Linked DNA regions of Arabidopsis thaliana. Each later gene encodes a partner of the first gene's protein in a complex. Each region holds a gene or a part of one and is shown on either strand. Other genes may lie near its edges.

Region 1 (4,527 bases):
ATGGCATCTTGATCCGATATGGGTGCAACCAGCGCCATTAGGACCAAATGAAGGTTTGAAGCCGGACGTTTCCACGGAAATGGAAGAGGGCCGAGAAAATAGTGAGTGTATATGGAGAATGCTTGGTGCTCTGGTCTTGGCTGCAGTATGTGGAGCCGTAGGGGCAATGTCAGCTATGTATCTTTGGACTATTTGCAGTGTTAGGCGGTCAATGGCCGTGGTTCCAGAGGAATGTGCAGTGAGCATTGTGGTCGTTGCAGTTAAAGATGGCAAGAAGTAATGAGAAGTTTGTTTGGCTTTGGCTTTGGTTTAAGAAGGTTGTCTTGTTGTAGTGTAAATGTAGTACCTTCTTCCACTTCCTCTGGTGTTATCTTTATTTAGTGTTTTCTTTTATTTGCTTCGTTAGTTGCAGGTTTCACATGTACAATCTCTATGAAAGAAGCCGTAAGCTTATTTGATCTTGCAAAATAACTTAATTTATTGATCTTGCATTTAACATGTTTTATATTTCTGGATCGGAAGCAAAAATCAACACCCACTGTCTTTTTCTCACTTTGATGCTGACTGCAACAGAGTAATGTGAACCGAGTTAAAAAAAAAGGTCTCTGTTCAGTCATCTCGTGAACAAAGATCAAATCTCTAGAAAGAAGACAACATTCACATGTTACCAGAGAGTAGAAAGAAAGAAAGTTAATCTAAACCTCAACATGGGACATCAACAACAAACAAGAGGTATATCAAGGAGAAGAGCAGATACTAAAGATCCATACAAAATGTTATTAGAACTTATTTCTAACCTTTCTTTTAATTGATCCTCCCTAATCACTAGAGTACTAGGTATCATCTTGAGAGCAACTGGAGTGGTAAGCTTCACAAACGTCCAGGTTTAATGCAAGAGGCAATTCTTGGTAAGCGCGGTGTAAAGGAGGTAAGATTAACGCAGACTTTTTATCCATTGCTAATAGCCTTCCACATTTACTGCATCATCAGAAGAGAAATGAAAAGTTAGTCCACGGGAAACAAATGTATTAGAAGAATTACGGAGAGTCTGCATACGTGCAAGGTTTGCTAAATACGGATTCAAAACTGCATATCCATAGCTGCATAAGAAGAAGAGAAAGGTGTTAATTAACTTCCAGACAAAAAAGGTTCATGTTATCCAGAGACTGAAGTGTGCTTGTAAAATGCTTTACCAGAAGAGAGTAGAGAGCTGTTCCAGTACCAAAGCCGAGGAAATATTGCAAGGCTGTAGCAGCATGTTCCTGCAAGAAAAATCTAATTAATGCAAGTCCCCAATGAATCAAATTTGTTAAACTATATATAATATCAATCGCATCTTTATTACCGTTATGTGTTTGTAAACATGATAAACCGAGAAGCCTCTCGCATGTAAGTAGCTGCCTCCCTGTAAGAAAGGGATGAAGCTAAAACATGAGAACTTAAACAATTTCACATGAGAATCAGTATATTTTAATGCAAGGAGGTTGGAAGTGACCTCATCTGGGGAGAAGAAAGCAACTGCATCTGGATCAACAGAACCCGCTGGACTCAACGAGACTATAGCTCTGAATAGAGAAGGAAATGATAACTCAATAACAGCAATCTTGTCGACAACTTCAGTCTGTAACCCTGATCTCAGCTTGCTAGAACTCTGGAAAATAGGTTTCGATGCTTCTGTAGGATCATCACTACCTGACCCAGGTAAAGAGTTAGCTCTTTTAAGCCAGTTCAATCGTCCATAAGTAGACACCTTCACACTCGGAACCAGCTTCTCTAAACGCGATTGTATATCTGGCAATGTTTTGTAATCAACCGGCTCCTCTCTTCCATTTTCTAATAGCAAATGGGAGGCACGATGTTTTTTTGAGCTTGGTTCCATCTTTAATCCATCATCAATATGAGGGAAGAATCGTCTTTTCTGATCCGTGAAGGCCTTGAGAGCTAACCTACAGTCATTATACACAACGCGAGAAAATGGAGAATGCATGAGATTCAGTAGAATTGGTTAGCTGATGAAACTCCAAGTTGGTACCACCAAGCTTCACTAACAGCCCTAATATGCAGACTCGAACCTAAACCCTAAGTATGCTTTAAAATGATTAGCAACGAATCTGATACCTGGTTCTATCAACAGCAGAAGCACCAGCTTGGCCAGCAAGCTGTCTTTTCCAAGCATAAGCAACGACTGCACCATCTGGACAAACCAAAGGCATGTGAAGACCCCAAGAGTTACTTCTTGACCTAAGTGATTCAGTTAACACTCCAGATTCTTCCAATTTCTTCCCTGAACCAAGCAATAAACATTGATCGATCCTTAAAAGCCCTAATCTAGAGAATCAATCAATACTAATGAAAATGATTCAGTTTTGGTTCAGCACCTATTAAGCGAAGATCCTGAAGATGTTGACGCATGGAGGCGTCTTCTCTGAGAAAGAGCTGAAGAGGCATGTCTGTGTGACGAGGTTGCGAAGCCACGAACATAGCTTCAAGGATACGGTCAGCGCCGAGGCGGATATCGGCGATAACCCTAGCCGCTTGATTGAGTCGTTCCATGGCCTGAGCCACCTGTTTCGGCGGCGCGTCCGATTCAGACTGATTGTTCGCCGCCTCGGCCGGATTCTGGAGAAGTTGGGACTGGTGTAGCGTCTGCATAAGCTGTGATTCAAGCACACTCTTTCGATTTCAATGAAATTGATCTTCTTGACGACGACGGAAGGAGAGGAATGTTTCTGGACTCGGAGAATTTCACGTTCAAATCTCAATCTACTGTAACGCCAGACGCAATTTTGTAGCGTTTGCGTTTCAAAGGCGTTTTTGTTGATATGCTTGCTTCTGCTCCTTCACGTCTTATTTTGTTTAATTTATTCCACTCTGTTAAATTGAGTTTTACTCCATTAAGCAATGCTTTATGGCTCATGTTGGACTGAAAATGTATTTTGTAATCTCAATGTTTGTGGGACTTTTAGTTTTTAGCCCATATGTACAGTTTGTTCACTTTAATATTTTTTTTTTTTTAGTTTGTACATGTAAAAAAATGGGAAATTTGCAAATATAGCCAACAAAAAAATTATAATTGCAAAACTAACACTTCAACCAATATGTATTGAACTTTATGCAATATTGACAAACTTAACCCGTGCGTGAGCACACGCGCTTATTCTTCTTCTTCTGAGTTTTCAATCGATAACTTCTATGTATTACTCTGTAAAAATTCAAATAGAGGTGAACATTCAGAGAAGTTACAGTAAGAAAATCTGAAAATTCTGGGCTTTAAAAAGCGACACCCGGGAAAGTTTCGAAGAGCAGACTGCGTGTGCAATCCGAGTGACGATTCTAGAGTTTACGAAGATTGAATTTGTGGGTTTCGATTTGGGGACTGTGGAGGCTTCGATTTCTGGCAATCGGACTGCATAAATCTTCTGCAATTGGAGGAGGAGCCTATCTAAGCATCCGAGTTTCGTACAACACTTATGTTGGCTCTTTTCTCAATCGAGGGTTTTTGATTCCGTTGAGAGTACTTGAGTGAGTTTTGTTGTACGGGAGTAGAGGTGTTTATATCTCCGTCGTCTCCACTGTAACACTCGAATTTCTGTGGCAATTGGTGTCGGCGAAGGGATTCAGCCAAATTAAGGTATGAAATGCCATTTTTTGGCTTTTGGGAAAATCTTTTTAATTTGTGTTGAAGAGCTTGAATAGCATAAACTCGGATTTGAGTAGCTTTAGGTAGGGAATCTGCTTGGTTAATACGATATTCATTTGTAATTGTTATGAAGGTTTAGGATTTAACTCTACTTCAATGTAATCCATTTGTGTTTGTTGATAGTAACGGAAGCTACTCAAATTGGTTGTATGTGTTAATGACATTTTTAGTTTTATTTGCAGTATTGAATAGCATAAACTCGGATTTGAGTAGCTTTAGTTAGTGAATCTTTGCTGGTTAATCCGATATTCCACTAATTGGTGTTATGAAGGTTTAATATTTAACTCAACTTCTATGTAATCCATTTGTTGTTGTTGATAGTAACGGAAAGCTGAGGCTATATTGGTTGAGTCTGTTAATAACATATATTTACATCTAAGATTTATATATTTTGTATTTGTGTAAGTAGCAGCATCAAAAAAGTGATACGTGGACATTTGTATTTCAGTGTATCTGTTCCATGGGGGATGTAGAGTTGCCAAAGCGTTTGTTTCGGCTAGGTTCTGAACCTGAGGGCCGAAAGAGGATAAACAATTACTTTACTCTTAGGTGGATTGAGATCATCAAGGCTGCTCTAGATCAAAACCATTTGAAGCAGCTGGAGGGTTCGCAGTTTGGATTTCTGTTGCAAATGGGGACGCATCAGTTTTCTGTAATGTTCTTACATTACATTCTATCTAGGCAGTTGGTGACAGATAAGAAGTATGAAATGTGGTGGGTGTTTGCAGGGAAGCCAATTCGATTTGCCATTGATGATTTTGCACTTGTTACCGGGCTTAACTGCAGCAAATCTGGATTCAACAAAAAGGATGCAAGGACAAGAGGGA
Region 2 (5,519 bases), on another chromosome or scaffold:
AGTGTAAGAAAAAAAGTAAATAAATATGTTTTTTGTGTTTGCACAAATGAGTTTTATTCAGACAAAAATTCACAAAAACTTGTAAAAGCAAAAATTTATCTATTGTGCAATGGATTAGGACCTGTGAAGACCCTTCTCTTGCCATCTTCAAAAACATCTTCACCACCACCTTCATAATTAGTATATTTTGATCCTCTTGATGACGCAGCATTGGAGTCAAGATCATGAAGCTTTGGATCCAAATTTCCAGATTTCTTCAAGCTTCCATGAGTTGAGTGATGATGTATATTAGGAGAAGACGATGAAGCTTTAGCGTAAAGAAACAGAAACAAAAGAAGAAGAAGGATGATCAAGGCAACTGTAGTGATGTGTTTCCTAGATTTTCTTCTAGAGTAGTAATTTCCCATCTCTTAGGAATCTTCAAGATATGAAGAGTTTCTCTATAAGGTATAGATTATATATTTAGAATCGATTTTTGCAAGTATAAAAGATCTGATCAAGATCTCTTAAATAAATTCTCTCTCAAAGTCTGTAAGAATGAGAAGAGAGGAATGAAAGTGATGGAAGAAAAAGCTATGGGGCTTTTAACCTATGACTTCCTCTAAAAGTTTGTTGCTCTCCCTTTCTTATTCTCCACCACTTTCTACAAATAAAGAGAAGAGAAACTAGATAGAGGTTTGTAAATATATATATCATTAATTTTTAACGAAAGTTTTTTTTGTGTGTTGAATCATTTCCAAAGGTCTTAGCTGGGATTACTAGGTCAAGTGGTAGTAATTAGTGTGGTTAATAATATACTTATAGTGGTTAGTTTTAGAGAGTAATGAGGGTGTGATAATAAAGCATATAGAGGAAGGTAATTATGTGAAGGGGGTCAAAAGTAGAAAGAAATAGAAAAGAGAGAAGAAGGGGCCAAAAAGGGAATTGGAGTGATGATTCTAAGACTTAGCTTTCTTTGGGGAAAATGATGTTGTCTTCACTCCCTTTTTCTTCACCCACATTTACACTCACTCACACACATGAAAAAATCCACTTACCACTTGAATCTTCTTCCTCTCCATTTTATATAAATGTTGTATATCTATATTTGCTTCTCGTTTTTTAGTCTTTCTAAGATTACTTTTTTTTTTTTAATTTTACTTTATTATGAGTTAAGAAAGAGAATAAAGAAAACAGTATCACAAGAACTAAATTACATACATGATACATATATGGATATGATTCTCCAATATGCATCTTCTACCTTCGATAAACGTATTTACAACTTGTGCAACAAATGTTTTTAAGAAATCAAGCTGAAAGTTTATAGAAGAAAAAACAAAGACTTACGTCCAATATTTGTCAAGAAACACCATATGTGATATGTACCTCAATATATCCTCATCAGTCATCACGTTTTTATATATTATATTCCCATTTATTTTACAGCAGACAAATCATCATTTACATAGTAGAGAGCAGGTATACAAACTCAAATCCCCAAAAATACCATTATTCCATTTTGTTCTCGTCAAGCACTTTGTCTCTGATGTTATATCAGCAAATATACACGTATGTATTCATCGTATGTTTCATCTTAAATTGTAGAAGATATTGTTAGGCATGTCTCGATCGGATTAGACCTGTCCGACCAACCCAAAACACTGAAAACTTACATTATTTATGTTTTGATAATTTTCGGTCTTATAATGGTTTTTTAGAATAACAATTCATGTTTTTCACTCAAGTAAATAAAAAATATAGAAAGAGATAACAATCTAAATCGGATATAAATAGTCGTGGATATTTTTGTTTGGATAAGAGTACCACCGGTTAAAGAGAGATTCATTACTCGGTTCGAATACGGTTTAGCTAATGGAAGATCCTTGATTTGTCTGGTTAAGTGGGCCGTGTTGAAGGAGCGCGTGAAGCCCACGCGGAGCCCTTGAATAATAATAAAAAAAGGCTGACTGTAATTTGTTGATTATATTGAGAGAGAAGCCAACGGAAGAAAACAGAGAATAATTCCTCTCTCATTGGTCATCAGACACAAAAGACTCTCAAACCCTAACTAGTCTCGCTTTTTCGCTCTCTCGAACCTTCTTCGATCTCTGTCCTTTCTCGATCACTTGCTAAAATCAAAATTTTAGGCGGGAATTCGATACCCAAGCCCAAGACCCAAACACTTCCCCCCTCACGTTTCGCTGCTTTCGTTAGCTAGCTTTCTCAAACGAGATCTGGGCTTGTCGAAAGAAACGTGTATGTTGATTGTTTCGATTCTTTCTCCTACCAATTGAATCTGAGATTTTGGTTTTGCTATTGGGCTCTGTCTTGTTTCGTTTTCGAATTCCAAATTCCTCAATTTCGAATTTCTCTTCTGCTTGAAGCTTTTTTATCGAGTCTAATCTTCGTTTCTAGTGATTACTTCGCTTGTCTGATTTTTTTTTTGTTAGCTTCATTCCTAAATAGAACAAATTGATGAAACTTTCTTGTTGACTAGATCCAAAATGTATGGACTTGGTATCTAATTTTACTTTTACAAACTTCCGAAAACTTTCTAGGGTTTTGTTTCTGATGCTAGTTTCATTTTTTTTGAGCTTGGAGCAGAAAAGTTGAGAATTGATAGCATCTAATGCTAAATTAGATTTTCTTACTTCTTAGTTTTGGTCACTATGAAATATGAGCTGGTGCTTAGTTATAACTTTTGTATTGTTTGTGCTACAGAATTGTTAGTTTAGATAGTATCGAAGCTGAATTTGCTTTCTGTAGTAGTATTATTTCCTTATCACTCTATGCTTTTTCTGATTTTTGTTTCCTTGTGTAGGATATATATGCAGTGAGCCAGTGATCATGCAAAAGAAATTCAGAGTGCGATAGAGAAGATGGAGCCTGAACGTTTAAAATTTGGAGGTACATTGGTTTCGAATTTGGAGCTTCTTCAGTTCGTGAAGTTATTTTTTTTGTAGCTCGTTGTCCTTTGTTTTCCCCTTTGGCTCACCTTGAGGTCAATGTGTTGTTTGTTTCAAGTGCAGGTCCAAGAGAGTTGTGCGGTGCTGCGGATCTTATATCTCAATTCAAACTAGTGCAACACCATGAATTCTTTTGCAAGAAATCTCTTCCTGTTTCTTTATCAGATTCCCATTATCTTCATAATGTGGTTGGGGACACAGAGATCAGAAAAGGAGAAGGAATGCAATTAGATCAGCTTATTGAGAGCATATCACAGAGCCGGGAGACTAATATTCGCATCCAGCCTTTTGATATAGATGAGCTTCAGGAGTCTTTCCAACTAAATGATATGACTCCTGTTGAATTACCCCCAGTAAGAATCTGATCTTTCTCACTCTCTCTTGGTGTTTTGAGTTTTAAATGTCCTTCTTTTCATAAGAGTAACAGTATTTGCCATTACATTGAACTTAAAAACTGGCTCAGTAATGAATGTCCTATTTCCTGTAACATCAAGTTCTTTGGTTAATTGAGAATCTTTCCCTAGTAATGTGAATTACATCTGGGTGTCCTATGGAGATGATTGACCTTGGTACTATTCTTCTTTCAGGCAGAGAAGGGAGCTCCTACAATTCCGTCTAAGTCAAAAAGTGAGTCGAAAGATAGGGACAGGAAACATAAGAAACACAAGGACAGGGATAAAGACAAAGATAGAGAGCATAAGAAGCACAAGCACAAACATAAAGATAGAAGCAAAGATAAAGATAAAGACAAGGACCGAGACAGAAAGAAGGACAAAAATGGCCACCATGATTCGGGTGATCATTCTAAGAAACATCATGATAAGGTAAAGAACATGTCTGTTTGTTGAAGGTGTCTGTCTTTCCAAAGAAGAATAGCTTAATGGAAAGTTTTGTATTTGTTGCTCTTGAGTTAGGCTGCTTTTTTGACCTGCTTGGCATGAAATTAGCAGATCTAGAGACTGCTCTAGAACATTTTATTGAGTTTTTATGGAGCCTTTTCACTTATATTTCAGAAAAGGAAACACGATGGAGATGAAGATCTTAATGACGTTCAGAGGCACAAAAAAAACAAGGTAATGGTAATGAAGTGGGGCCTCAAATTTTTCTCGTTCTTCATTAACACTCAACATGAAATTTCCACCATAATGTTTTTTTTGCACAAAGGTGCTAGAGAACTAGTAATATGTCTTTGATAAATTGTATTGATTCAGCTCTTGATTGAACCTGTTGCAGCATAAAAGCTCAAAGCTTGATGAGGTGGGTGCAATAAGGGTTGCTGGCTAAAAAAGTTGTAGACATTCCAATTTTGTATTCTGCACTCGAGTAGGTGTCATGGAGACTTTAGAAGCACTTTTCAACTCACTGTAGACAGCTTATTAGGTAAGCATCTGTGTACTGTCCTGTCTCTTTTGTACAATTTTTTCGGTGTTCTTGGTATTCCGGGATCCTTCATAGAACATATACATCTGTTATAGTCCAGATACTATACTTTAGGGGAACTGAACCCATAATATTTTTAGGCAGATACTTGAGTTTTGTGTTGTATTCTTTAAGTTACTGAAATCCAAATAACGCAACATTTGCAAGGGAACATTGTATGTGTCTCTGTGCGACTTCTGTATTGGTATTGGATTCTTTTCTGGTCTTAAGAAAGTTGCCGTGATACATAACTAATGAAAATCGGGTAACCTGTCGAAAGAACATATCAAAGATAGGATGTGTTTCTAAATAGAACAGTCTCAGCTAACACAAATCATTGCTTACATTTTTGTTACTTTCTTATATTTTCAAGTTGTGTTGAACAAAATGATTGGCTTTGTAGGTTAAAAGCCCAAACTGGTGAATTCATTCCTTGAAGAAGAAAGGGGAAATTTGTGAAATGAAGAAGAAGAATTTAGTATCATAATTGATTTGGTGTCAGATTTGTAACATTTTTCTTGGGGTGTTCTATTCCATCTCTTTTCTGTCTATATACTCAATACAACACAAATCGTTACTATTCATGTATAATAATTTACTTACCAATTGATGTTGTTGAAAAAGTAACTGTCAAATCCACTTATTTACTTTTACTTGAGTGTCACAATGTCTATCTGTCTGCGACTATGCCTGTAAAAATTGATCAAATATCTGAACTATTTTCTCAAAAATATGTCGGATTATATGATTACATCTGTCGAAATCTCAAACACAAATTGTAACACTAGAAGCCATCCCCGAGAGTTCTCCATCATTTACTCTTTTCCATTCACCATCTATCATAAGGCAGCTTCTACTTTCCTCTTCATCATTCCACATCAGATTCTCTTCTGCTACAGTTTCAGTTTCCTCATATGCATGTTCTATTTCCATCTCAGCTTCTTCCTCGTATGATTCCAATGTCACATCATTTGATTCAGAATCTCCTGCACTCTTCCTTGCTCGCTTGCATGGCGATTTCTCCAATTGATTTCTATTACACTCAGCTCCTCTCTTCGCATTGTTGTTACCTTGTGCTTGTTTTGAGATGCTCTTAGCATTCTGATTGTCAAGAAGAGGTAAACGTCCAGAAGATCCAATGATCCGAGGCAA
Region 3 (3,579 bases), on another chromosome or scaffold:
GAAGACGAAGAAGAAGAAGAATCTAGATCTGTCTCTCTCTCTACTCGATTTCTTCAAACTTGTAGCTCTCACACTTCTTTCTCTCTATATTGTTTGTTACTACCGGTAAGCTCTGTTTGGAAGAAAACATGCAATCGCAACCGCCAAAACTTCTTTGCGTTTTGATTCTGCATTTGGGATTCTTCTCATTTATGGGCCTTAAGCCCAACTCAATGACTGACCCAAATAACTAACACTAAGCCCAATCGTAATCCAACATTTTCGCTTTATTTATGCATTTTATAGACACAAGTGACCAGTAATTGAGTTTAGGGTCAAAAGATTCATAAAGTTTTCACAGTCATAAAACAAACCAAAAAGTTGGTAAGAAACTGAATTCACAATCTGCTCCAATCTCAAGTTTACAAATTGGTCTTCCAACTTTTTAAAACTACCATTTGTTTTTCAATCCTTAATGACTTCTAAAATCAATGATACCACAAAAACTCATAAAAGTCTTTGTTGTATTATCTTTAGCCTCTCCCAGCTTGAATTGCTGCCATCAAATTAGCCATGAAGAAAGCATATCCAACAGCGGTATGTTGCGGAGTGTAGTTGTCTCCAAGTCCAAACTTTTCAAAGTTGAGTTCTTTGTTCACAAACTTACCCGGCAACGACCTTTTCGACATAGCTTCTTGCCATATCTCCAAGAACTCCTCCATCAATTTTTTTGCCATTCCCATTGATGATATAGGAAGATACTCCACCTAAATAGTACACACACATAATTATAGGTTTCAAATGAAAGTAGTGCATAATAGCATAATGGCATAAGTTGATAGCACTAAAAATTCGTATAATGAAAACTTGTTGCATGGAAAACCGTAGATTATGCAAATTTTCTTAATTGACAAATTTTCTGCCTAATCACATTAGAAACCGTCATTATGTGTGTTACCAATCATAGCTAATAACCTTTAGTTACTGAGTTACATTACAAACTCCAAATTATGAATTAACTAGAGTGTTAGATAATCATTAACATTGATTATTAATATATCTCAACGTACTCAAAAGATATAAAATTTGTTACCTCCATGACTACGCCTCTAATGGTCTCAGCATGAGTAGGAACAACTTTACCAACTCTCAAACGAAAATCCCCAAGTTGATACTCAAGCCCTTCAAAGTAAAACGAGAGTTTGCATTTGTAAGACTGAAGGCTCTCCATGATCATTTGAATTGAAGAATCTGCTTCCACGACGATCCTTTGCGACCTGATGACGAAATAGTACTTATCTGGCTCCTCCGGAAGCGAAATTCCTACAAATTCACGCGGGAACTCAGCTTGATTCGCCTGATCTTGCAACATGGGTTTGTAATAGTTGAGAGTGGCTTTCCATGTTCCCTCTTTGACGCCATTGAGACTCTCTATGCTTTGTGTTACTTCGTTTAGGATTTGGCTGCTAAATGTTGATCCCTGATTTGGTTGCCAATGCAAAAGCCTGGAAAAGTATTCCCCCAAAGAAATTTGAAAAAAGGTTAACGTATTATAAAAGAAATTACAATAATGGTTATTTAGTTTATGTAATCATCAAACCTACCATTTGACGGGCATGGCTAATGGAGGTACAACAAATTTCACTTGACAACAAAATTAAAAAAAAATGATCTCTATTAATTTACAATAATACACAAACAATAATATCTTATATAATATAGTTGTATTCAGATATATAATTTACCAAAAAACAAAATGATAAAACTTTACAATAAAGCAAAAAATTATTTAATCAAAAAATACTTTTTGATAGAATTTCAATCAGTGTTCATAAGGAAAATACATTTAAATGCTCAAATGGAGTTCATTTTTTTAATCATTTCTTTCATTTGAAATAGAACGTGGTCTATATGGAAAGGAAAATTTATTTTTAAAAGTAATTTACAGACCAAAAATAATACATATGCATCAACTTTGGAATCATAATACAAATTTCATTTTTTAATAAATAATTATAACATAGAGAATAATTAGATATTTTAGTGCATGTGCACAATTACATAAGTGTACTCACCCTTATCAAGATAAAAGGGAAGAAAATATAAATTCTTATAAGAAAAAAATAAAGTAACTTTTGACTTTAAATAAAAAGGAAACAAATCTAAGAAATTAATGTTATAATTAAATTATTTACCAAAATTAATTGAAAAATAAGAAACATTTTTTTACAAAAACTAAAGAAATTCATTAGATCTGCTATGAGTATCCGTTTGGGATCACACGTTCTGTGATAGTAGTAGATCGACAACAGATTAACTAAACGAATCAAATATGAAATATATCACTTCTTGAATACAATCTAAATATAAAATTCATACATCTCGGATAAACAACTCAATTCTGCTTCTAAGTATATTTAGTTTATAAAACGATGCTTTTTATCTTTATCTTATCTAAATCATTTTAAAAAGATGAGTTGAAGGCATAGTAAAGACTTTTAGGCTTAATAATCATCGAGCCATAAAAACAAAATACAAGATTAGATTGCGAGAAACACTTACCGATGAAAGAGATTTCTGGTGATGATCTTCTTGGGAATACGTAGTATAACGAAAAATTAAGACTCGTACACTGCATTATATAGAGAAAAGCATAGGAGTTTGTTTGTTTTACTAAGATAAAACGACCTCGTTTAAACTACCTCATTTAAAACGACTTCGTGTAAAATTATGTGTTTCTTAAAATGACCTTGTTTTTAAAAAGGTTTTCTTAGGAAATGAGTGGTGAAAACATGAATGAATCTAACCGAACTTATCCAAATTCGAATAATACTAATAGTTTAAAATCTTATAAATAGAATTATTGGAACTGAACCTTAAATCAAATTTAAATTTTATGAAACTGAACAAAATTAACTGAACGAATCAAAATTCCTAATGTATATATCTCATCTAATCATCTAAATAAAAATAAAGGTTTGATTCATGTTTCTTCTCATCTTTCGTTCATTTTTTATGCATAGTCATGAAACATTAAGGTTTCATTCCACCCAATGATATAATTTTTTTTTATCCTAGTACACTCAAAAAATGAAAAATTTATATAGAAATAAATTGGAAATTGATACAATTATATAATTGAATGATACGCTTTTGCTTAATACTAGTCAAGATGAAAAAATAAAAATAAACCAATAAAAAAAATTGAGCTGAAAATAGAGGAAAAATAATTACTTAGTTGATAATTATTTGTTTGATATAATGACATTAAATTGTAATTTTAGGTAATCACTTTTTGTTGATATTTAAAATACGTTTTTAAACAAAAACAAAACCGAAATAAAAAACCAACTCGAACAAAAACCGAATTGTGTCAAACCGAACAGAGAAAAAAAAAAGTTTTCCACAAGTAAAACCGACAAAATAAACCAAACCGGATCCCAAAAACCATAACCAAAAAATTGCATTAGGAGCCAAATATTTCCGCCACTTAAAACATGCCACGTAGGCACGAATCGATCGATGCAATAACTTTTGTAACGGCTACAAACTTCTGATTTCATTTTTGAAATTCTTCTCTTCCGTCTCTTTTACTAATTC

The links. Proteins that work in one complex are often made in the same cells at the same time.
Region 2: AT3G09180 (region 1) and MED19A share a complex: the UniProt entries of both Arabidopsis thaliana proteins name them as parts of the mediator complex.
Region 3: AT3G09180 (region 1) and AT4G09070 share a complex: the UniProt entries of both Arabidopsis thaliana proteins name them as parts of the mediator complex.

The regions. Positions count from the first base shown.
Region 1 is NC_003074.8:2,817,403-2,821,929, reverse strand, and holds AT3G09180 (mediator of RNA polymerase II transcription subunit), read right to left. Parts: upstream 2,837-4,527; 5' UTR 2,653-2,836; coding exon 2,379-2,652; intron 2,285-2,378; coding exon 2,119-2,284; intron 1,947-2,118; coding exon 1,496-1,946; intron 1,406-1,495; coding exon 1,346-1,405; intron 1,263-1,345; coding exon 1,194-1,262; intron 1,101-1,193; coding exon 1,057-1,100; coding exon of another isoform or gene 1,038-1,056; exon of another isoform or gene 979-1,037; coding exon 834-978; 3' UTR 505-833; downstream 1-504. Other genes in the region: AT3G09190 (Concanavalin A-like lectin family protein), read left to right, coding at 1-280. UniProt on the Arabidopsis thaliana protein: Component of the Mediator complex, a coactivator involved in the regulated transcription of nearly all RNA polymerase II-dependent genes.
Region 2 is NC_003076.8:3,952,628-3,958,146, reverse strand, and holds MED19A (mediator of RNA polymerase II transcription subunit 19a-like protein), read left to right. Parts: upstream 1-1,961; 5' UTR 1,962-2,238; intron 2,239-2,803; 5' UTR 2,804-2,861; coding exon 2,862-2,889; intron 2,890-3,011; coding exon 3,012-3,301; intron 3,302-3,535; coding exon 3,536-3,772; intron 3,773-3,961; coding exon 3,962-4,021; intron 4,022-4,181; coding exon 4,182-4,232; 3' UTR 4,233-4,328; intron 4,329-4,770; 3' UTR 4,771-5,007; downstream 5,008-5,519. Other genes in the region: CLE22 (CLAVATA3/ESR-RELATED 22), read right to left, coding at 96-407; AT5G12220 (las1-like family protein), read right to left, coding at 5,133-5,519. UniProt on the Arabidopsis thaliana protein: Component of the Mediator complex, a coactivator involved in the regulated transcription of nearly all RNA polymerase II-dependent genes.
Region 3 is NC_003075.7:5,800,326-5,803,904, reverse strand, and holds AT4G09070 (TATA-binding related factor (TRF) of subunit 20 of Mediator complex), read right to left. Parts: upstream 1,598-3,579; coding exon 1,584-1,597; intron 1,485-1,583; coding exon 1,073-1,484; intron 747-1,072; coding exon 513-746; downstream 1-512. UniProt on the Arabidopsis thaliana protein: Component of the Mediator complex, a coactivator involved in the regulated transcription of nearly all RNA polymerase II-dependent genes.